Drosophila melanogaster: one gene and its partners. The protein of the gene in region 4 interacts with the protein of the main gene of each other region in a pairwise test. Each region holds a gene or a part of one and is shown on either strand. Other genes may lie near its edges. The genes, in order: CG15043, RAF2, Pgam5 and CycJ.

What was found.
Region 1: the proteins of CycJ (region 4) and CG15043 interact in a two-hybrid assay, tested with the Drosophila melanogaster proteins (one large-scale study listed by BioGRID).
Region 2: the proteins of CycJ (region 4) and RAF2 interact in a two-hybrid assay, tested with the Drosophila melanogaster proteins (one large-scale study listed by BioGRID).
Region 3: the proteins of CycJ (region 4) and Pgam5 interact in a two-hybrid assay, tested with the Drosophila melanogaster proteins (one large-scale study listed by BioGRID).

What each region holds. Positions count from the first base shown.
Region 1 is NC_004354.4:18,492,055-18,496,738, forward strand, and holds CG15043 (uncharacterized protein), read right to left. Parts: upstream 2,115-4,684; 5' UTR 2,029-2,114; coding exon 1,794-2,028; intron 1,721-1,793; coding exon 1,464-1,720; 3' UTR 1,139-1,463; downstream 1-1,138. Other genes in the region: Pgant7 (polypeptide N-Acetylgalactosaminyltransferase 7), read right to left, coding at 4,355-4,684.
Region 2 is NT_037436.4:16,383,787-16,391,981, reverse strand, and holds RAF2 (RING-associated factor 2), read right to left. Parts: upstream 5,656-8,195; 5' UTR 5,412-5,655; intron 5,357-5,411; 5' UTR 5,346-5,356; coding exon 5,026-5,345; intron 4,962-5,025; coding exon 2,634-4,961; intron 2,578-2,633; coding exon 2,362-2,577; intron 2,304-2,361; coding exon 2,105-2,303; intron 2,047-2,104; coding exon 1,798-2,046; intron 1,681-1,797; coding exon 1,639-1,680; 3' UTR 1,166-1,638; downstream 1-1,165. Other genes in the region: CG44836 (uncharacterized protein), read left to right, coding at 365-505, 630-860; Agpat3 (1-Acylglycerol-3-phosphate O-acyltransferase 3), read left to right, coding at 6,528-6,554, 7,869-8,055, 8,116-8,195.
Region 3 is NC_004354.4:1,870,669-1,875,351, forward strand, and holds Pgam5 (phosphoglycerate mutase 5), read right to left. Parts: upstream 2,898-4,683; 5' UTR 2,863-2,897; coding exon 2,305-2,862; intron 2,239-2,304; coding exon 1,927-2,238; 3' UTR 1,732-1,926; downstream 1-1,731. Other genes in the region: CG14803 (uncharacterized protein), read left to right, coding at 1-1,683; Vps26 (vacuolar protein sorting 26), read left to right, coding at 3,470-3,613, 3,693-4,683. UniProt on the Drosophila melanogaster protein: Displays phosphatase activity for serine/threonine residues, and dephosphorylates and activates Pk92B kinase. Has apparently no phosphoglycerate mutase activity.
Region 4 is NT_037436.4:3,463,845-3,469,159, forward strand, and holds CycJ (cyclin J), read left to right. Parts: upstream 1-2,583; 5' UTR 2,584-2,694; coding exon 2,695-2,778; intron 2,779-2,841; coding exon 2,842-3,028; intron 3,029-3,105; coding exon 3,106-3,528; intron 3,529-3,581; coding exon 3,582-4,048; 3' UTR 4,049-4,254; downstream 4,255-5,315. Other genes in the region: armi (armitage), read left to right, coding at 1-115, 173-1,135, 1,205-2,008, 2,065-2,388; CG14971 (uncharacterized protein), read right to left, coding at 4,937-5,315.

The DNA of each region.
Region 1 (4,684 bases), on a different chromosome or scaffold from region 4:
CGTCGATAAGACGGCCCGACACAACTGAACGATAAGCCCCCGGGGGAATTGGCTGTGGCAATTTCGGCAAACGCCTTTATAAAACCACATCGACTAATTGGCCATAATGCTGCGATCAGTTCCTATAAATAGGACACTCGAGCTTACACCGCTGGGAAATGGATTGGATTGGATGGGCATATGATGGGATATGATGGGAACACTTGTTATTTGATTGGACGATTGGACGGACTGCGTACAAGAAGCATTAACTTAATGTGCTATCGTAGTTCAATCTATTAGTAAGCGGCTAGATAGTATGTTGTTGATTTTTATTTTTATTTTTTTTATGACAACCCACCCAATAATAAAACCAGTGATAGGAAGCACCACCTTACTGGATAAAGGAAATGTTTCCTCCGCCGTTGAATGACGATCTGTGATGGCGCGTGTTTGTTTGTTTATTTGTTCCACGACAATCTTAGCCTTGATATGCATAATGGCGCACAATGGCAAACAATCTAATAAACAAATAACCGTATCTACAAAGTCAATTGACTGTCTACGCAACATGGTCATAGATACTATATTCATACATATCTATATATACCACATCGATTCTGGACTGACGTACTTACCACCAGAGAAAGTCCCCCCAATAGTTGAATGAAGACAGATACTCAGATACTCAGATGCCCAGCTATATGATAAATACCCAATTGAATCGCAAAGTCTTGGGAGTTTGGCCATTGTTCGTTCTCATCCAAAACGTGATTCATTCGGTTGGGAATTCCTTCTAAAAATCCAGCCAGATAGGGGGAAAGTTCAATAACGTCAGTAGAACAAAAACTTCATGCGTCTCACTCTTTCGCAGACAAATCCCTGGATGATTTGCCGCCTTGGTTTCACCTTCCATGCCAAACGGAGCCGCAATCGGAATCCACAGCGGATTCAGGTGAGTGGCTGTCCCAGATTTATGGCAATGGCTATCATCGGTTTCGAGTGGAAGGCGCGTGAGCAACGAACCATTTGAAATTGATCAAGATTACCGAATACCCTGGGGATGGTGATATATGATCTCTACCATTACCGACTTTTCAGCTTTGCAATACATTCGACATTCGATCGTACACAGTGAAAGACGTACATGTATATCTTTGGATCTACACATTCTTCGTTAAAAATGAAATTTTTTAATTAGAGGAACAGGTCCGAATTTGATTTATCATATAACTCAATTAACAGAGTGACTGATAGTACAAACATATATGATCTAATTGCATATTTACGATTAAACATATGACAGCATATAAACTTTATCCCATCAATGAAATGAAATTAATTACGTAAATCTAGATAATTGCAGGTGCTGCAATCATTTTAGTCTGCCATTATACATATGTATTTAAAATTGGAGTCACATTTAAAAAAAAAAAAAAATATATATATATATAAAGCTAGCGAGGAACTAATGCAAATGCCTCCTAGTTGACTCCGTAGTAGAGAGCCTGGTATGAGAAGTTCTTGGTGTTCTTGGCCTCCAGCACGATGGAGATCAAGCTCTGGCCGATGCCTCCGGCGACCACGTAGGCGGTGCCCTCGTTGGTGTCCTGGGTGCAGAGCAGCTCCACGTAGGATACAGTGGCACCCTTGCCGTTCTCCGGATAGGTAAGCTGCAGGCTCACATCTTGCGCCCGTGGGAATTCGTAAGTGTTGGCTGTCTGGGCCACCAGTTCGTCGCCTGAAAGTATGCCAGATTGCGGGATCAGTGATTGGTGGTCGGTCAAACGTAGGGTATGCTTTGGGTAACTTACCCGGAATGCGGGCTCCCATGTTGTAGCGCACGGTCTGGCTTCCGACGCGGGCCTTGGCCGGCACAATTTCCTTCTCCATCTGCTGGATCTGCAGACCCGGGTATTGGGCGGCAAAGACATGGATATTATCCACCACTTGGATGCCGGTGGTATCCACACGTATTGTTCCAGCCGCTCCACCGGACACAAGACAGCCCAGCAGGGCGGACAACAGGATGAGGCTAAACTTGGACATCTTGGGCGTTGAATTGAAATTCGAGGTAAACGAAGTGTGTGGACTAAGGGTCTCCAGTCACGGCACGTTGAAGTCACGGAATGATGGCCAAGGTCTGGAAACCACCTATTTATACCGCCCACTGTTTTTCTTTGAATCATATTAGGTACCCCCTTATCAGGCCCATTGCCAATTTCAAGTGGCAAGTGACAATGTCTAATCCAATACCGGAAAAAGAGTCACACCGACGCTGGAACTGCTCTACTTCTCGTTCAGAAATGAAACTCTTGTATTGAATTAGAGCTTAGAGGATAAATAAATGAGTTATTGGGCTTTTTTTTATATCTAGCACCTTACAGTGCAGCGACCCCACGGAAGTGTAACCATAATAATGCTGATAAGGAAGCTTCCCACTTCACTCAATTAAATTGAACAATTTCGGTGTTATTGCGCTCGGATCCAATCATCCCCCTTTCGCCCCGCCGGCAGCTGCGATGGTGTACCAATGGGCGGAAGATAAGACCACGACTCCCACTTTGGGAGTACGACCTTTCCTATCCGACGGTAAACAAACAATCTTTTTTTTTTCCTCAGGCCCTGATTAGCCAAAAACTAACTCTAGGCGCAATCTATTGCCCCAGGATTGACACCTGCTGGCGTCCCCCTGTTGGACTTCCCTCCCCCTTCCTCGCGCTTTTAGACTTCCCTACCCGCGATGGAGGAAAGAACTTCCCGGAATCTTATCGCCCGTGGACTTCCCTGGAAGTGGGACGTCGAGTACCTTCGAGACGAATCGACCCATCATCACCACTCCCAATCAACGCGGCCATCGATAATTGTAGATTTGATTTAACAATAAGTTATGAATCATCTGCTTAAAATTGGATTTACTCGCCATTCTATGCGTACACTTAAAGAATTGGCGGGGCATTAATGGTGCACCTACGTCAAAAGAATATAAAATTAAAAGAAATTTTAAAAACTTTCGAAAAATGCGAACTTGTTCTGTGCACTTAGGTTTCAAATTGTGAGCACATCTTGAGATGGGAACTTTATTATATCTATTGATTTATAAATGGATCGACCCTTCCCCACAATATTAAACATTCAACAGCTCGGCTTACATGGTAAAGTGTTTAGAAAACGTTTTTATTTCTATGCTATTATTCAGACTTATCGATAACTCTAAAGTTACACATGAATGTAAAATATTGTTTTCAAAAATCAAACTCCCGAAGCACTTGCAACGATCAATTACGATTACGACTACCTGGTACAGAGAGCTTTACGAAAATCAAGAGTTTAAAAAAAAATAATGGGATTAGTAGTAAGAGAGCCGAGCTTCGCTGCAGACTCGATTGGTTCGGTTCGGATTGGATTGGATTGGAATTAGAATAGATTATAATGGATTAGATTGGAATGTGGCAGCGTTGAAACTAAGCTAGGATTAGTTGGACTTGCAGGAGTATAGACTAAGGTTAGTACATTCATTTTTTCAGTTGGCAATCATAAAGCAAAACAATCTGCGGCCCTGTCATCGCGTCCCGTTCCCGTTTCATAAATCCTCTATTGCACTCGACTCGCCATCCCGCCATCGCGCTATCTCGCTCTTATTCGCTTCCGCTCTATACCCATCGCATTCTCTCACTCATACGCAAGGACACACACACACGAGGTCGGCACGGAAATCCCCCAGGCTTGGATCCTCCCAAATATCAATTGAATATCTATTGTATGAGATTCGCCGATCGAAATGGGAATGGGTTCACTATCAGCTAATTGTGATGATTTTCGTACGCTCTGCACTAAGTGCATTTTGTGGAGTTTGATCTTTCGTGACAAAAGTGGAAAACAGTTTTCAAGTACGACTACTACTAACACACACACACGATTTTGAAAATTGCATTCACTTCATGCACTACAAATATGGTCTAAAAGCAATTGTTCTAATGCTTACATGGAAATACAATTGTTCGCGATTCCTTACGACATTGTTTTACAAAATCGAAATTCTTAAGCTTTAATAATTTAATAATATCCTTGTGGATTTATTTATTCGCCGAGCATTGAATGCCCTTGTCTGAATCCCGGTTGCCCAGGCGATTTCCAAGTGCCGACAGTGCATATGTACATACAGTTCGCGTCATAAATGCAGATGTGTGTGATATCTTGTGTTTTTCGTGTGTATATCAATACTTATATGCGTTACAAAACCAACAACAATTCCATTTCTCATTTTCACTAAATTGCTTTTGTCTAAAATATCGCCCCCGTTGCCCCGGCTGAAACCCTTGTGATCCATTCCTTGATCCTCCTCCTCCTGCTGCTCCTCCCAAACATGCTGGACTTACCAGCGTGGGCGTATCTCCTTGAACCACCACTGCTGGTAGCTATCGTTAACATCGCAGTGACCCAATGACAATTGCTGCGTGGCCGGATGCAGGGCCATGCATTTCTTGTGGACGCGATGCATCAGGTGCTTCGTGTGCTCGTTGTACTGCCAAGGACCGTCGACTGTCCCCAGACGACACACGGCCAGTTTGATGCCCTGCCGATCGGCCTCCACGCAGCGCTCGCCGACGCCCAACTGGCCAGCGGCATTGAGCCGAACCAGTTGATTATTTCCGCCTCCATGGCAGTATGTGAGGCCCATGATGGCCGGCGGCTGGTGGCCCAT
Region 2 (8,195 bases), about 13 Mb from region 4:
TTCCTTTTAAGAACAACTTGAATTTTGGCTGCTAAAAAAACATTAAAAGGGCGTTTTTATTCTCTTCGAACACCGCTTAAATACGAATAAAATAGAAATACCCCATACAAATTCTACTGGCATAGTTAGCATTGTTTTCAACAGCCAGGTGTCTAGTTTAAGTACAATAATATAGTACCGAGTACACACAGTTATGGGCCATAATTCAGCTGAAACGCAGCGCGATTCGAATCATTTGCAAGCCAAATTTGGCGCGAACTCTTCGCAAACATTTTTCGCATATTAATTTGTGTTCTCGAAATGTGCTCAATTGTTTGGAAAAACTAATTACGTGCGCGCGCCTATTTCCATTCCCATTTTGCAGCTCCAGCGTCTGCAGCGCTCCACCAGCGCCAGTGCGATCCGTTCGCACCTGACCAAGGTGTCATCGACGTACCGCCGCCCCATCGCCTTCAATTTCGTTCGGCGCGAGTGCAAGCGTTTCTACGTCTTGCCCGTCTACATGGTGAGTGTGTTTCCCCCGTTGGATACCTTCTTTTAGGGTGCACCATAATGTTTACTACTGCCATCCCCACACACAAACACACACCCTTCCACACTTATTGAATCCAATCCCCTTTCGATTCCAGCACAGCACCAAGCAGAGCATTCGATTATGGTGGCAATATGCCTACAAGTGCGTCACGCCCTCCGCCTCGGCCGGTGCCGTCTGGAATCCGAATCTGAAATTCCGGCTCTACTGCAGCCGGCAGCTGCGCATCCGGAAACTGAGACGTGGTCCGTGGTCCAGGAGGCAGCCACTCCGGCTGCATATAAATGACATCAAACTGATGTGCCAGGTGCGCAGGCGCAGTAAATAAATGAGGCGATGGCAAAGCCCTAAATGATCTGAAAAAATTCCATTATACGAATTATATGTTATCAAAGTTTAGTCGAATTTCACAGAAAATTCTGTTTGAAATTTGAACAATAAACTTGGCGCCATTTATCGATAGACCAAGCCAACCAGTTCTGCAAACGGTAAAATTTTATATTTTATAAGTACCAATTTTAAAACACTTTCTATTATTGTATTAAAACGTCTCATCATTTTCTTTATTTTGTTGAACTAATACTTTTTGGTTCAATAGTCTTCCCAAAAATTAAATAATAAGTGCTTGTAAATAAATATGAACTTGTTTATTTTGCCTTTAGCATGGAATTACATCCAAAGAAACAGAAAATAAATATATTAATTCTTAAATAGATATCTTTTATGTAGCAAACAAGAAGTCAAGGATATTTAATTTTCAAACAAAAAAAGTGGGAAAACGAGGAACATTTTATCAATACGATTTTGAAACAAAATGAATTTCGCGCGTTGTTCATAAGCAAATTGGAATCAATTATTAAGGAATTATAATTATTATATTTAATCCCTACCAACTTATAATAGCTAGGCATATTACACTTTAAATTGTGCTTCATTGATTGAGTACAATTGCAAGCACTTAATTCAATAAAACGCAATTGAAAATGGTCCGCCAGTGTCCTGTGTCCTTCAGTGAGTTACACGGTTGAGTAAATATATAGTAGTGCATATGCGATACGTCTATATAGTTATGTTTTAGTAATGCTGATGTCCTAAGTGAAGTCTATTTAAATGCCACAAGTTCGGTGATGTGTGTCCCAATCGCTCAGCTATAACGAATGTATTATAAAAGATAGGTAAACATGAGTACTTTTCCTTCAATGCGTCACTGGATAAAACAATTTAAAAAAATGCATAAAATACATAATAAATCCTACAATGCTTACCTGGCATTCACGACTGCAGTACCATTGATTCTGACAGTTGGAGCACATAAAGGTGGCTCCATAGAGCTTGCACTCGTGGCATTGTCTACCTGTGTTACCGTTGATGGTGGCGGAAGATTCAGCCTGGGACTTATGGGAGCTCCTATGCTTGTGAGACTTGTGCTTATGCGACTTGCGCTTGTGAGACTTGTGCCTCTTTTGGACATTCTCATGGTCGTTGATATTAGCGGAATGTTGTTCTTGGTAGGACTGAATAGAAACATTTATTTTCGCGGAATGTCAAAAAATATTGTGATTAAGTGCATACCTGTCTATTGGCCAGTTGGCGACGGGAGGCCATCGGACTGCTGTTGAACAGCGGTTCGATCTGTGATTCATTATCCGAATTATTGTCCTCCATTGAGACGTTACTAAAATGCGAATAATTTTTCCAAGCCCTAATCTTGCGAAGCGTCTCTGAAAGATTGGCTGACAAATGTGTCGAGGAGCTTGCCATGTCCTGGTTACTATAAATTATATGACGTTAAAATAATATGTTCTAGTATATTATTTGTATTTTCTCACCTGTCTTGCGAGTGGATTAGCTTCGGTCGCTTGGCTGGCGGATCTCTGTCTGGATTGCTATCTAGCAGATGGTCATTTACCGCATTCCGAGATTCGTAATGCTGATCCCGCATTGATAGATGACTTACGGGCAAGGAATCTCTACGAAAAAGCATTTGGTCATCCTCGAAATTGGCCGGAGACACGGACGGTGCGCGTTTATTTAAGCCCAAGGAACTGAAAACGATCAATTTTAACTTGGGATTCTCAGAATTAAACATTTAAAGATTTACCCCCGCAGAAGCTGTATGATGTTCTGGTTTAACTCGGCGTAATTCAGTAATTTTTCAATTGCCGACAAACTATGTTTGGAGGCCATTGGAGAATCGATTTCCTCTTCTAGCATAGCCTTTACCTCACTGAGCTCCTTGGTGCCGCACTTGTTGATAAGGATGGGCAGTAGGTCCTTAATACGTATCAAGCGCTCCTTTCGCTCCATTCGTTCATGCAGCTCCTTCTTAATGCAGCTCAAATACAGCAGTCGGTTATATTCATCCTCTTTCTGGGCCATCAGCTTATCTAGGGCTGCAAGATCCGCAACGATGCGTTCGCGCTCTTTTTTCAATGAATCTTCATCAGGGGGTACCGAGTTAATTTTATCAATCATTGTCGAGTTCAATTCATCGAAAAGTTCTTTGACGCGATAATGGAAGTTTGCATCACTATTATTGAGATCAACGAATGACTTTTGGCGGGTTGTCGAAGAAGAAGCCGCTGGTGACCCCAAGCCCTGCGTCTGGGTGCTCACCGTTTCCGATCGACGGGGTTGCGGCTGTTGGGGCACCGCAAAGTTGGGAGCAGCCACTGGAACAGGATGCAGTTGAGATGGCGATTGATGGACCTGCTGTGATTGGGCAAGCTGATGTGGACTAGCATGCCTTTGAGGGGTCAACGGCTGCACCGAAGCTGGTCTTGATGAATCTGGCTGCTGTGGTGGAGGAGCTAGCTGCTGTGGTGGAGGAGCTAGTTGCTGTGGTGGAGGAGCTAGCTGCTGTGGTCGAGGCGCTAGCTGCTGTGGTGGAGGAGCTAGCTGCTGTGTTGGAGCTAGCTGCTGTGGCGGAGCCATATGTTGTGGTGGAGCCATATGCTGTGTGGGAGCTCGCTGTTGTGGCGGAGCCAGCTGCTGTGGCGGAGCTCGCTGCTGTGGCGGAGCTCGCTGCTGTGGTGGAGCTAGCTGCTGTGGTGGAGCTAGCTGCTGTGGTGGAGCTAGCTGCTGTGGTGGAGCTAGCTGCTGTGGCGGAGCTAGCTGCTGTGGCGGAGCTCGCTGCTGTGGTGGAGCTAGCTGGTGTGGTGGAGCTAGCTGGTGTGGTGGAGCTAGCTGCTGTGGCGGAGCTCGCTGCTGTGGTGGAGCTAGCTGGTGTGGTGGAGCTAGCTGGTGTGGTGGAGCCAGCTGCTGTGATGGAGCTAGCTGCTGTGGAGATGGTCTATGTTGAGCCAGGTGCCGTGGTGGAGCGAATGGAGCTGTAGCCAGTTGCTGTGGAGGAGCTCGCTGCTGTGGTGGAGGAAGCTGCTGCGGTGGAACTGATCTTGGGAAGTGCATCTGTTGCACGGGGGCTTGTTGTAGTGGAGCAACCTGAGATGGAGCTCTCTGCGCGAGGGCAGCCACTTGTGGTGCAGCAGCATAGGATGCAGCGACTTGGGATAAAGCTGTCTGTTGAATCGAGAAAGTCGCATTAGCTTTCATGTTATTTGACAGCTTTTCGTTGGGATAGGATATCTGCATTTGGGTGGCCGTTGGCGGTGGAGTATTTAAACTGTAAGTGTCAGCTTGCTTGGCGGCAGTAGGCGGAGCCAGGGTATACGGTGTGCTCAGCTTAAAAGCCTGCTGACGCTGAAGAGGATTAGTCGATGGAGTGGTGGGCATTCTTAGATTTAATGGTGGAGCTGCCTCCATTGGCTTCTGTTGCTGCACCGTTGAAAACCCAATTATATTATCATCCTCGACTTCATTGTTGCGCTTCTCTTCGCTAGCGGGCGGTGTTACCGAACGGCGTCTTTTAAGAGTGGCATCAACCACAAGCGACTCTGCCTCATTTGGCGCATCTCGCGACCGGTCCTTTAGAGCCTGTTCCAATTCCCGACACGCTGAGAGTTTACCGTAGTCGAAGACCGGTTCCTGGGGATCCTTCTTTACCAGGAACTCGTCGAGGATAGAGGCACCGTTTTCGTTGTTTCCAAGTGGGTTTGCTTTCTTCCTTTCTGGCAGCTCGTAGTTTAGTTGGGGTGGAGCCGGAAGCGTAGGCTTATTTTCCTTGATGGGCGTAACCCTTGCCGGCTCTTGCTCTGGTTTCTCAGGCGAATCCTCGTTCTCCGTGTCGTCAAGGCAAATGAGTTCCGGCGAACCACTGCCGCTGCGGCTGCGAGAATAGCTACGACTACGACTGCGACTGCAACTTCGGCTAAGACTGCGGCTGTGGCTGCGACTACGACTGATGCTCCTGCTGTCGTAGGTTCTGCGCTGCCTGTCATGGAAGCGAACCAGGTGCTTCAATTTACGCTTGGGCAGCAAGTCCTTCAGGCCGTCAAAATAGCTGTTGTAGTCCATTTTATTGGGTCGCAGCCTGAAGTGTGATCGGATAAGATAGGATTACAGTTTCAGTAGGTTCTTTGGGAAGTAAGCCTTACCAACGAATACTGCGACGCTTGAAGTAAAGATTGGGCAGCCTGCCACGCTGTAACTGCAATTGCCGGATCCGCCGAATTGTTTCTGAGCGCGTGGAAGGTGGCACCGCATCGTCATCTGGCTTTTCATTTTTCTCAGTGGCAGCCGCCGATTCTGGAGCTCCATTTCCGGGTTTCTCGGACTCGGATCCCTTGGATTTTGTCTTTTGGGGTCGTTGCTTGCTCACCGCCGCGTCCATTAGAGCGTCGTATTCCTCCTCCTCGTGGCTATACTCGTCGCTACTTAGCTGCGAATTGGAGGAGTCGTAGATCTCGTTGGACATTAGGCCTGCAACTGGACGACGGTCAGGTATGTACATCTTTTGGCATTAACCCCCTCAAAAACTCACGCGCTCACGTCTGCAAATTTTTGGCCAACAAAAAATCGTCTGCCGGTTGAATATTCTAATCCGCCGACGGGCTCACCTTTTCAGTTGCTGAAAACCACTTAAAACAATGGCCCAAGTCCCCAAATAGGCTAATTCGGGTTTATACCAGTTTTAAAGCGTTTACTTTCAGCAAAAATCCAATTTCCAAATGCGAAAAAAAATTCGCCGTTCAATTCTGCGAATAATTTTGACAGGCATTTAGTATGGACGCAAACCAATAGGGTAACCACTTTTGGGAAAGTCTTTAAATAATACTGAATAAAATATGTTCTTCCAACTAGTTCTTAGTTAGGTAAACCAAGCAAACAAATTTTTAATCTTATTAAATTAAAGTAATCTAGTAATCTTATTAAATATTACTAGTTTCGGGGTATTCGGTCATTTCATATCTAAAAACCAAATAACTATATTAGAATAAGTTACTCACTAGAGTTTCATTTTTTGATTTATGGAAAAGTTAGCGTAGATCAAAAATCAATCATTAATAAGCTATAAGTTGTAGTGCAGATCGTTAGCCAAATTATTCAGATTTCCTTTACAACATTGCAACCTGACAGCCCTGGTGGCAAATATTAAATATTGAAAAATACTAAAGGCAAAAGTGGCGATTTTCCGTTTGTTCACCGGTGTCATCGTCATTGCACTCGAACGGTCATACCGTTTGGCTTACAAAAGAAAACAAATCAATTCGCACAAAAACATTGCCAAAAAGGTAAATGGCGGGCACGACGCCGCCGAGTGATAACCATATAGTAGTGACCAGTGTTTAGCAACCGATTCCCGCCCAGTGACACTCGTAAACAAAGGGCACGACCGACAGTGTCTGTATATATATGTGCATATGCGTAACAGGGAATAACCGATAAGAACGGCGCAGCTGCAGATAGACATACCTTTAAATAGGACTTTGTTTATTGATCGTTTGTGGGTGGCTATTGCCTTGCAGATCGCGAACTGATAACCATAAATGTTAACCACGTCACGCCACCCCACGCCTCTCCCAAACACACACACTCGCACACGTGCGCCAGCTGAGCACATGCATACGTATATGCATGCTCACACGCACACAATCGCATGGTCGTGCACAAGAACTCTTTTGTTGTATGTAAAGTGGACGATCGAAAAAGTAAACTAATTCAATACAATGGGTTCAGCAATCAACGTCGGGGTCACCAATTGAGTGCATCAAAAATACAATCAATTCGGCCCGGCGAATTTTCGGTTGATTCAGCTAATGGCGGTGTGCATAAGAAATGGCATGAAAAGTACTCCTTTTTTCATTGGATTTAAATCCCATTATCATAGGAAGAAATAAGAAATTTAAAAAAAGCAGTGCTTGTCAACTGAATGCATTCATTTCTATTACAAAAACGTAGTGCGTTCCATTGTGCATGTAAATATATGCAGTCCCAGTTTTATATTACGTGTCAAAACAAAAGATTGACCTTTATCATTGGTCGTTTTACAACCATTGTTTATAACTTTGTAGAAATACAAATAAAAACTTCTTTGATAAACTTTATCCGCTGACATGTTTTAAATCATAATTTAAGTAAATCATGATCATTTAAATAATAATCTCAATATATAATACCTATTACTTTAGTTTATTTAAAATCCGAAAATCGTTTCGAAACTTATTTAAATTTGCTTAAATTGAAATATCTAAAATATCCGAAGCCAAGTATTATTTAATAAGAAATATGAATAGCTAAACGCCTTAATGAAATGATTTAATTAGTTTAAAGTTTTAAAGTTGTCGTTTTTACTCATAATTAAAACGGTCGTAAAACTTTAGTACTTTTTTAAAACATCTCCATGTACAAAATGTAAAAAATGACACCTAACTGTCATCAATTTTTTGCTAAACTGTTTGCACACTTTGGTCCCCATAAACCCACTCATTCTAAAGATTATTGACTTTCGCGAGCTTCCACTGTGAAGTGCGAGTATCTGCCCCATAATGACTATCCGTCGGACAGGCGGACTTTGTCCACAGCGGCTGTAGCTATTTCCAACGGAGAAGTCATCGATTGGCCAAGGCTGATTAGATTCCTCCTCCGGCAGCGGCCTTAGCAAAAGCTATAGCCTATAGGGCTATGGGCTATAGCTCCCGCTGATATCTGGCGAATATCTCTGCCGTGCGGCGGTTGCCCCAGTCCATTGCCAGCTGGTGGTGCAGGTGGTTGCCTTCCCGGATTTCACGATTTCTTTTAACTTGGCCGCGTGCTTTTAATTGAAGAAAACGCAGCTCTTGTGTGAGTGCGGGACCTTGTGTAGTGGTCATAAACTAGGTGTTCCACCGTTGGGACCATAAAGTGCGGGTTTACGAGCACTACCGGGAGAACAACCTACAATTAAAGTAGTGATTACGTAAAGACAGCCGTTTTATTGGTTAAACATCGCTATTTGCAGATCAAAATGGGTTCCCTGGAGAAGCTGAAACAATTGAGACTGATACACCTGTGCATCGCGCTCACCTTCTTTACCAGCGGGCTGTGCATCAACTTTATCCAGCTGCTGATGCACGTCTTTATCAAGCCCATAGACAAGCGACTCTTCCGCAAGTTGATGTACTATGCCTGCTATTCGCTTTACTCCCGTGAGTATATCCTGACCAGTTCCGATTCGAAGTAGAAACATAATACCTCCAATCCCTTAGAACTTATCTTCGTGTCCGATTGGTATGCCGGCAGCAAGATGACTGTCTACATGGACAAGGAGGACTTCGAGAAGCATGCC
Region 3 (4,683 bases), on a different chromosome or scaffold from region 4:
CTTCTGCATGCCCAGCATCGCCTATCTATGGATGACTATGTGAGCAAGCTGCTCAACCAGTTGGCCACCATTCGCAATGATGCAGAGGTGGGCGCCATTTATGTGGGCAGCCTTCAAGCCATCTTTAATCTGGCGGATGACTTCAACCGCGGCGAGCAGCAGCTTCTCGGGCCATGGCTGGCACATTACGTCGAAAAGTGTGGGCAGGCATCGCAGGATCGCGTATGGCAGACGCTTCACAATTTAATCCTCCGTCTCAGCGAGCGGAGAGCTGTGGCTGGCAATGCGAGTGGCATCAAGGAGGCACTTCAACAGCACATAATGCCACTGGTGAGGACCCAATACGTTAGTAGCCATAGCTCATGGCTTCCAAAGCTAGCGGCTAACTTCATCGCCCTGGAGAATAATGGGGACAAACTGCTACTGGGCTTCCTGCAGGGACCAGAACCCATCAATATGGCTGCTTCTGCTCAGTTGTTGCTCCAGGTGTTGGAAGACGGAGGGCGACCTGCCAGCTCCACCATTCTTCAGGTCTGGGTGAAGTCTCTGGTCCTCCTAAACGCACAACACGAATCTGTATTGGCTTTAATGCCCCATGTCACACAGCTAGAGGAGTTCCGACTTCTGGCCATTGATCCCACCTCTTTGGAGGGCGGGCGCGAGCCTCTCTGCGCCTTCTTTGGAGCTCTGGGAAGGCGTGCCCAGCAAGAGGAGGCTGCTGCCCACGTCCGTATGCAGTTGAGCCACAAACTGCATGCCTATGTAAATCATTTCGAGCTATGGCTACCCCCGGATCGAAGCCGATCGGAACTCGGTTCCCGGTTCTACAGCTTCCTAGCCATTGTCATCTATAATTGTTCCACTCTAGCGTACGTGCGATCCAAGCCGAGCTGCTTCTTCCACCTGGCCATGGTGCGGTTCCTGCTCACCACGCAGTTGCAGGCAGGAGTGCCGCCCGAAGGTCGCCTTCCACAAGTGGTTCACAAGATTTTCCCAGTGTTGCTGCAAGGCATTGGTCGACTGCCTTACCGCACGGACGCATACGTGGCCAAGACTTTGGAGCAACTAGTTCAGCACTGGACGCCGCACTTTAGCTTCTCATCCAACGCCAAGCTGGTGGCCCGTCCATATGCCACCCTCCTCCAGGCGGATGTAGATGGAGAGCTGGCGCAGTTTGTGCTTCAGCTCCTCGTTACCCAGTTTTTGGTGGTCCAGCGGCGGAGGGCAGGACAGCATGCGGGCTTGGTGATCACTATAATGCAGCAACTGATAGAGAGCACTGGCAAAGAGCAGGAAGAACAGCTGCTAACCGTTTTGCGCGGCGTGCACATCCCGCTGCTGGAACACGTAATGTTCGTGGACGAAGTGGACCTCAGTCGCAACCAAGTGTTTGGACTTTATAAAGTGCTTATATCGCACGATGCCTACAAGCGATCACAGGCGGTCAGGGATATGTGCTCCAATCACTTGCGATCCCTCGCCGAAAAGCACCTGGCCCACTGCACTTACTTTTACTTCCAGATGCTGATCAACCTGGCAGAGCTGGCGCCGGATCTAGTGGCTCCCATCCTATCCTTTATAAGGGAGCAGGCAGAGCAGGTGGAGCTAAAACGCGGCGCTGGAGAAGATGTGGGCATACGCAAGTGCTTGCAGCGACTCCAAAAGGTCTTGAGCAGGGTTTAGGCTCCTCATGGCTTCTTTTGTACATATAAGGATTCTCAATAAAATGTTAGGCATTCTATAAAATCTTTATTATTTCAGTCGGAAGATTCAATGATTCCTCCTTAAGAGATATACGTTACGGTGCGGCAAAATGTACATGGTGGTTTACACAGTCTCGCGATCTGTGCTCAAGGTCTCAGTTAAAGTGTTGGAAATAAATACATTATGATTGCTTCTCCTTTGGGCAGTTCTATAAACAGACGGCTAAACCACGTTTTTGACGTCGCGCGGTATGCGATTGGTAAGCAGCTCGGCGGGCATAAAGCCGGAGTCGCCCAGGTACTTGATGGACACGTTGCCGGATGGACTGATGGTCAGCCAGGTGATGGAAGCGTGATTAATGTTAATCCGTAGCCAACCCTCGGCGGGGAACTGCAGGGCTCGGCAGACAAAGTAGCGGATCACGTTGCCGTGTCCCACGATCAGGGTATAGCTCTCCTTCTCTTGGTCGGGATAGGCGCGGTGGAAGTATCGGCGAAAGCCGGCCTCTATGCGCGATCCGTCGCGAAGGAACTGCTGCAGTGAAATGAAAGCCGAATATCATGTGGAATACGCACTGGGTTGACCCTTGACTTGACTTACAGATGCCTCCGGCTTCCAGTGGCCGACTGGCGGCTGGGGCGGAATAGGCGCTCCTTCACGCAGGAAGGCACAGTTCACCACTTTCTCTTTTTCGAAATCGATCTGCTTGAGAATAATATCGGAAGTCTCCTGGGCCCGCACCATTGTGGAGGCTACTACCTTGTCCCACTTGATGCCCAGCTCGCAGAGCCGTTTCCCAGTAAACTCCGCCTGCTTGCGGCCGCGCTCCGTGAGATGATGCGTGTCATCCGAGTCACCCACGTCCAGATACTCGCCATGCCGCACTAGGATAATGTGGCGCGCCTTCTTGGCCTTCGCCTTCTCAAGCTCCGCGTTGTAGCGGTTCTCCTCCTCCGGCTGGCTGTTTCGCAGTGGACGCACGAGGGCCCGTGGCTCCCGGCAATCCCAGTTGGTGTCCCAAAGGGCCCACGGATCCACCGGCTTATCACTGTGCGTCCACGAGTTCTGCACGACCGTCTGCGGGTCCCGCAGCCGCTGTAGGTAGTAAGCCGCCAGTCCGGCTCCTGTGCCGCACACGAAGCTAGTCAACTTTCGCATCGTTAGGGCTTTTAGGTATTTTCTTTAATTTTAGTTTTGTTCCGCTGAATAAGTGCGGTATTTAAATACTGCGATTTGGTATTTGACATACTAGGTTAGCGGGTATATAAATACCGCGCAAGACCATTTAGAATTCAACTATCGAAAAGTTACCAAGATGAATCAAAAATACGAAATATATTTACACAATTATTGTATACCAAGAAAATTAAGGATCCACAATCAATTGTTTCGTTAATTATTCCGTATGTGTTTCTTAAAGAAATACCATGCAAATACTGAATACTGAAAAGTACCAGCGCTGGCACTCCTTAATAACAATCAGGTTGACGCGATATGGCAACGCCGTAGTGTGAAAAATTGCAATTTTTTTCATTTCACACACACAGACGCGACAGATACGCCAGCATCGGAACGAAGGACGTAAAAAGGCCGCAGAAAAACGCCTATCAAAGCTGAGGTTTATTGAAGGGGTTATCAGAAAGATATCTCTAGGAAAAGCCGCCAACAGGAGTCACAGCGTCGACATTCCATCGGAGCAGCAAGAAGCAGAGGCGGGGGCAATAAGAAACGGAAGAAGAAGAAGCCGATTCGACGTTTATCAATTATGAATTTCCTGGGATTCGGCCAGTCAGCGGACATTGAGATAGTCTTTGATGGAGCTGAGCACAAGACGGCAGAGGTTAAAGGGGAGGACGGCAAAGTGGAGAAGATGCTGCTATTCTACGACGGGGAGACGGTATCCGGCAAGGTGCGTCGTGGTCAGCATCGGGGGGAGTTCCCCCAAGCATAACCAGAGATAAACCCATATCCACCCCCTTTTCATCCAGGTGAACGTGACCCTCAAGAAGCCGGGCAGCAAGCTGGAGCACCAGGGCATTAAGATCGAATTCATTGGCCAGATCGAACTGTACTACGACCGGGGTAACCACCACGAATTCAAGTGTCTAGCGAAGGCCCTGGCCCGCCCGGGCGATCTCATCCAGAACAACAGCTATCCATTCGATTTCCCCAAAGTGGAGAAGCAATTCGAGGTGTACGCCGGCTCGAACGTGCGGTTGCGGTACTTCCTGCGCGCAACCATCGTCAGGCGGATCAGCGACATAACGAAGGAGGTCGACATCGCCGTGCACACACTGTGCAGCTACCCGGAGATGAACAACCCCATCAAGATGGAGGTAGGCATCGAAGACTGCCTGCACATCGAATTCGAGTATAACAAAAGCAAGTACCACCTGCGGGACACGATTATCGGCAAGATCTACTTCCTGTTGGTGCGCATTAAGATCAAGCACATGGAGATTGCGATCATCAAGAAGGAGAGCACGGGCACGGGCCCCACCATGTTTAACGAAAACGAAACGATTGCCAAGTACGAGATCATGGACGGAGCGCCCGTCAAAGGCGAGAGCATACCCATCCGGGTCTTTCTTGCTGGCTACAATCTCACGCCGACCATGCGGGACATTAACAAGAAGTTCTCAGTCAAGTATTTCCTCAACCTTGTGCTGATGGACACCGAGGACCGGCGCTACTTCAAACAACAGGAGATCACGCTGTGGCGCAAGGCAGACAAACCGCGTTACCATGGCGCTCAGCAGCACCAGCAACAGCAGCACCAACACGTTCCCCTGCACGCTCCGCCGCACCTGGTCAGCGGTCCTGCTGCGCCCACAGTGGCTCACTCGCTGATCAGCTCGAGCACGGACAGCGGAGAGGTGGGAGGAGCACCGACAGCGCCGGGCACTGCAGGATCTGAGTCCAAGATGGGTCTGTTTACCAGGGAGAGCCCCAACCAGGAGTTCAGCCAACAGCAAATGG
Region 4 (5,315 bases):
GGAGAGGTCCCGGTTCTATGCCAACCAAGTTTGGTGCAACAAGGTGGATGTAATCCCGGGACAACAAATTGTTACCAAGCGCAGATTTGTTGCTCTGCGTTTGGGTTGCTTTGAAGTAAGGAGTCCTCTCATTAAAAAATATGCTTATTTTTAATACTACCGTTCTTTTAAGGTGCCCAAAGAATTGCGCCAAATTTGTTTGACTAGTGAACGGCGACAAGAGATGATCAAGGCCATCGAGCAGCACTATTCATTCCTCACGGAACCCCTAAGCATTAAAACCTATATGCACCGTTTCAGATTGCTCCTACACCTCGAGGAGATCGAGTGCTTCGTCAACTTTCGCAACTACGACAGAGACCGAGCACACTTTCTGCGTGACGGAGAGTTCCTCACGCTGCAGATCGAGAATCTAGCCGAGCGTCGACCGTCGCTGGTCATTGGCGATACACTGCGAGTCATTAATCCCTGGTCGGATCCCGATTCCCAGACCACCAAGTCATACGAGGGCATTATCCATAAGGTGCTCTTCGATCGCATTTTACTCAAATTCCATTCCAGTTTCCAGGAGAAATATAATGGCGAGGACTATCGACTAGAGTTCTATTTCTCACGCTACAGTTTTCGCAAGCAACACCATGCCATCTCCAAAATTGTAGGAGTAATGGGCGAGGATTTCTTGTTTCCCAGCAAAGTAACCAAGCGCGAGAATCCCCAGCTGGATGTTTATATGAAGGATGACGACATGTACTTGTACGATTCGAAATTAGAGTGGTATAATCAGTCGCTTAATTCCATCCAAAAACGTGCTGTTTTCAATATACTGCGCGGTGAAGCGGAGAACATTCCTTATGTGCTGTTTGGGCCTCCGGGCAGTGGAAAAACAATGACACTTATTGAGACACTACTCCAGTTGGTTAGGAATCTGCCTGGTGCCCGAATCTTGGTGGGAACGCCGTCGAACAGCTCAGCGGATTTGGTGACAAAGAGGCTCATCGATAGCAAAGCTTTGCTCCAGGGAGATTTCATTCGCCTCGTTTCGTACAATCAAGTGGAGAAAGACTTGATTCCTCCGGAAATAATGAGCTACTGCGCCACAAGTGATGTCGGTGCTGTGGGCAGTTGCGAGGACAAAGTGAGTAGAAAAATTTTATCATTTGGATTGGACACCAATTAATCTTGGCTTTGTTGATATTTGCTATAGATGATGGTCACCGAATCGGGATTGAAGCTTCGCTGTCAAGCTAAGTTTATAGGTACTCATCGCATTACCATCTCCACCTGCACTACTTTGGGAAACTTTTTACAATTGGGGTTTCCAGCGGGCCATTTCACTCACGTGCTGTTCGATGAAGCTGGTCAATGCACCGAACCAGAAACAATGGTACCCATTGTAATGCTAACGAAGAAACGCTCTCAAGTTGTTCTCTCAGGTGATCCTCGCCAGCTGCAGTCTATTGTCACCAGTCGAATTGCCTCGAAAATGGGATTTTCCATATCCTTTCTGGAGAGATTGCTGGAACGGTCGCCGTATCGAAAAGATCTTCAGCGATTTCCCGAAAGCTCCGGCTACAATCCACTAGTGCTAACCAAATTGTTGTACAATTACCGAGCATTACCGTCGATTATGAGCATTTATAGCAGGCTATTCTACGATGACGAACTGATCCCAGTTCTTTCCGAAAAGGATTCAAGGGAATCTCGCCTACTAAGTAAACTGCGGTGTGTATTTGAGTCAGAAAAGGATATCCCTCAAGCGCACGGCACGTTCTTTTACGGAATCATTGGCGAAAACAGGCAAAATAACGATTCCCCTTCCTGGTTCAATCCCCAAGAGGTCAGGGAGGTGTTCCTAATGACCATCGCCCTGTACCGTGCCAATGTGACTGCCGATCAGATCGGTATAATCACGCCCTATCAGAAGCAGGTGAAGATGCTTCGGAGTATGTTCATTGGCACCGACGTGGTCATGCCGAAGATTGGATCCGTCGAGGAGTTTCAGGGACAGGTGGGGTCGGAACTAAAATCGATATTACGTGCACACTTAACGTTTGTTATTTCCAGGAACGAGACATTATACTAATATCCACGGTGCGTTCATCAGAAGAGATCCTGCGCATGGATGCCCGCTTCTCCTTGGGATTCGTGCGTTGCAGCAAGCGACTTAACGTGGCCGTTTCCCGAGCACGTGCCATGATGATCATCTTCGGGAATCCCCATCTTCTGGCCGTCGACGAATGCTGGCGCCAGCTAATCCTGTTCTGTGTCAAAAATAACGCCTATTTTGGCTGTGATCTGCCTCAAATGGTGATAAATCAGAAAGATGAGGTCCCCGTTTGCTTGGAAACATTCGTGCCTTCACTGAATACTACAGATGATTTGAACTAAGCACATATGACAGTTTATTATTAAATTAAAACACTTGTTATTGATGAATTAAAGTAACACAATTAATCATTAAACTTGTTTTAAATATTTGTACATATGTGCTAATTTTAGCGAATGGTAACACTCCCAAGCGCAGTCTGGGAACGCTGCTCGTTTGGCTTCGCAGTGTGGTAGCACTGGCCGGAACCGTTGTAGCGCCATGTTTGCGCTCCTTTTGTTTTCTCCTTCATTTGTTTTGCTTTTTTCCGCCGTTAAGTTCTTGCCTTAAAATCGGTGATTTAAGGCATTGCATTCAATTTCGATACAATGGAGCAGAAAGTGGCTGCCGAGCAGAACATCTTCGTCGTCGACCGCAAATTGAAGAAAACTTGCCCGCAAGCAGATGTCGAGGTGAACGGACATGTGCTTAACTTTTGCGAACCCGACTTTATTTCGTTAAATACCAATTTGTAGCGCCTGGCTAAGACGCACTGGCTCACCGACTATGCCCGGGATATATTTTTGACCATGAGGGAGCAAGAACTCAGCCGTCGGCCTTTGTTTTACCTTTCGCCGCAGCTGAACGAGCGCCGAAGAATGCTGCAGTTGCTCAAACTGGCGACCAGCGCCCACAAGCTTAGTCGCTGTGCTTTGCACCTGGGTGAGCACTGTACAGAGGAGCCTCGCTGCAGGCACAAAACCCATGTGCACAACTCATTGTAACTCGTTTCACTCCAGCCGTCTACTATATGGATCGCTTTGTTGATTACTACAAAATCCGTCCGGACAAATTGCTCCTGGTGGCCATCACTTGTCTTCATATAGCTGCGCAGATCGAAAACACGGATGCGTTTATTCCGCGCTACAGCGAAATGAACCGATTGGTCAAGAACGCCTATACGGCATTCGAGTACAAGGCTGTGGAAAGGAAGATCCTGTGCTTCCTGAACTTCGAGCTAATACGTCCCACCACCGCCAGTTTTGTGGAGCTCTTCGCCTGCAGTTTTCTCACTCGCTCCGATTTCAAGAACTACATCGAGATGTTGGATGAGTACGAGCGGAACCATCACACCCAGCCGTACCAGCGATATATAAGCTTCGAAGAGATGCTGTCCATTTTGGCGCAGTTGCTCCTTCGCATGGCGGATTATACATTGTACAGTGAGTATCGAATTCCCATGGAAGGTATTGGATACCACTTAACACTCATTCAGTTTCCAGATTTGCCAACGATCTGCCATCCCTTTTGGCTGCCGCCTGCATTGCTGCAGTTCGCCAGGTCAGCGGGGTCAGGCGCTGGTCGGAGTACCTAGTTGGACTGACCTCCTATACTGAGGCGAATGTCGAGCCGTACATGAACGTTCTGACCGACTATTATTATTACCATGTTATTCAGACCGACTACGGTAGTCCCTCTGTTCAGACCAACCAGAGTTTAGCCAGTCCCGATTCCGGATTCGAGGAGTCCTTCACTGAGAACACAAACCTGGTGGTCTCCGATGAAGTGGTCACAGTAGAGACCTACAACATAATTACCGTGCAGCTGCAGGATCCATCTCCACATTCATCGACTTTCCTTCCCAAAGAGCAAACGAATTTGAAGCGATCGCGCTTTGAAGACGATACCGAAAACCAGCACCCATTGAAACACGCCAAAGTGGAGAGTGTAGCCAAAGATTAGTAAAAGGGAAAAACGAAACTATTACCATTTGGAGGAAATCCAAATAGCTTAGAAGTGAAATGACATCCATAACGTAGATATGGTCTTGTTCAATTGAGTTGAACCTCACCCATATAATAATCGTGATGTTATGCTTTAATATATATGTATTTAATATATATTTGAAATTATCTTATAAACTTATAAATACAATATGTCAAAAACTCAACAAAAATGATGCATTAACTAAAAACAACGAAGACATTATTTATAATTCGCTAAAGAACAATGCCCCTTGTTTAATTTAATCAGACGTTTGCGGGAGCTTTCAAATTAAAAATTCTTATAACTATAAGGGTTTACAATTCAATTTGGAATGCCAAATTAAAGATGTCAGTTAAGGAACAATGAAAGGGTCATTAAGGCTTTCTTATTTTTACATAGGTTGTATGACTTAAGATCGAGTTTTTACAAAAAAGAAACGAGATAGATTTCGGAACTCAAGCAAACTTTGGACAGTTCTCAATACATTTTCAGCTTCACAAATGCAAAAAGATTAAAACTAACTGCTATTAGAAGTTAATTGATTGTCCAAAGAATACTCTTCGTTCCTTAGATTTCGTGTCGTTACAATCGAATCAACTTAAACATGGATGTTACTCTTTACACTTCAATTTGACGTACGTCTCATATATCTAGCCTAGCCCCTAAATGCACAAGGCGGGAATGCATCGAGGAAGTTGAGGGAATCGGTGACGGAAGGAATGAAGAGTGTCAAACTAACTAGCTTACTTAAACATGCATTGCTAATCCCAGTGTAGTAAGTAGTTGCGTGGGCCAAGGTGCTGGTAAACATAAAAGTAGTTTGAATTTACAACATTTACAGGACATCTGTACAAGGATTGGCTTTCATCGCTGCATGTCGCGTCGCTTCAGCACGTCGAAGATCACATCGGAGGCGTTCTGTTTGTTGCTTGCACCAGACTCGTCCTCCGAGTCGGTTTGCTCCAGCAATGGCACCGTCAGCGTGGAGTGCGACTTCACATGGACACCCACAATGGCACTGCCATCGTTGAATTTGTACTCCCCTGGCGACGACTCCTCCTGGTCGTTATCGAGCTGCAACTCCTGCTGCCGCTGCATCTCCTTCATATTGGAGTACTTGTGCAGTAGGTGGCAAACGATACCAGCCAGGCAAATGATCAAGCCAATGTAGTTGATGACACTCAGGTGGTCTTTTCTGATAGTCACGGCTAGTGCCAACTGGCAGATATCCTTGAAAATGCCG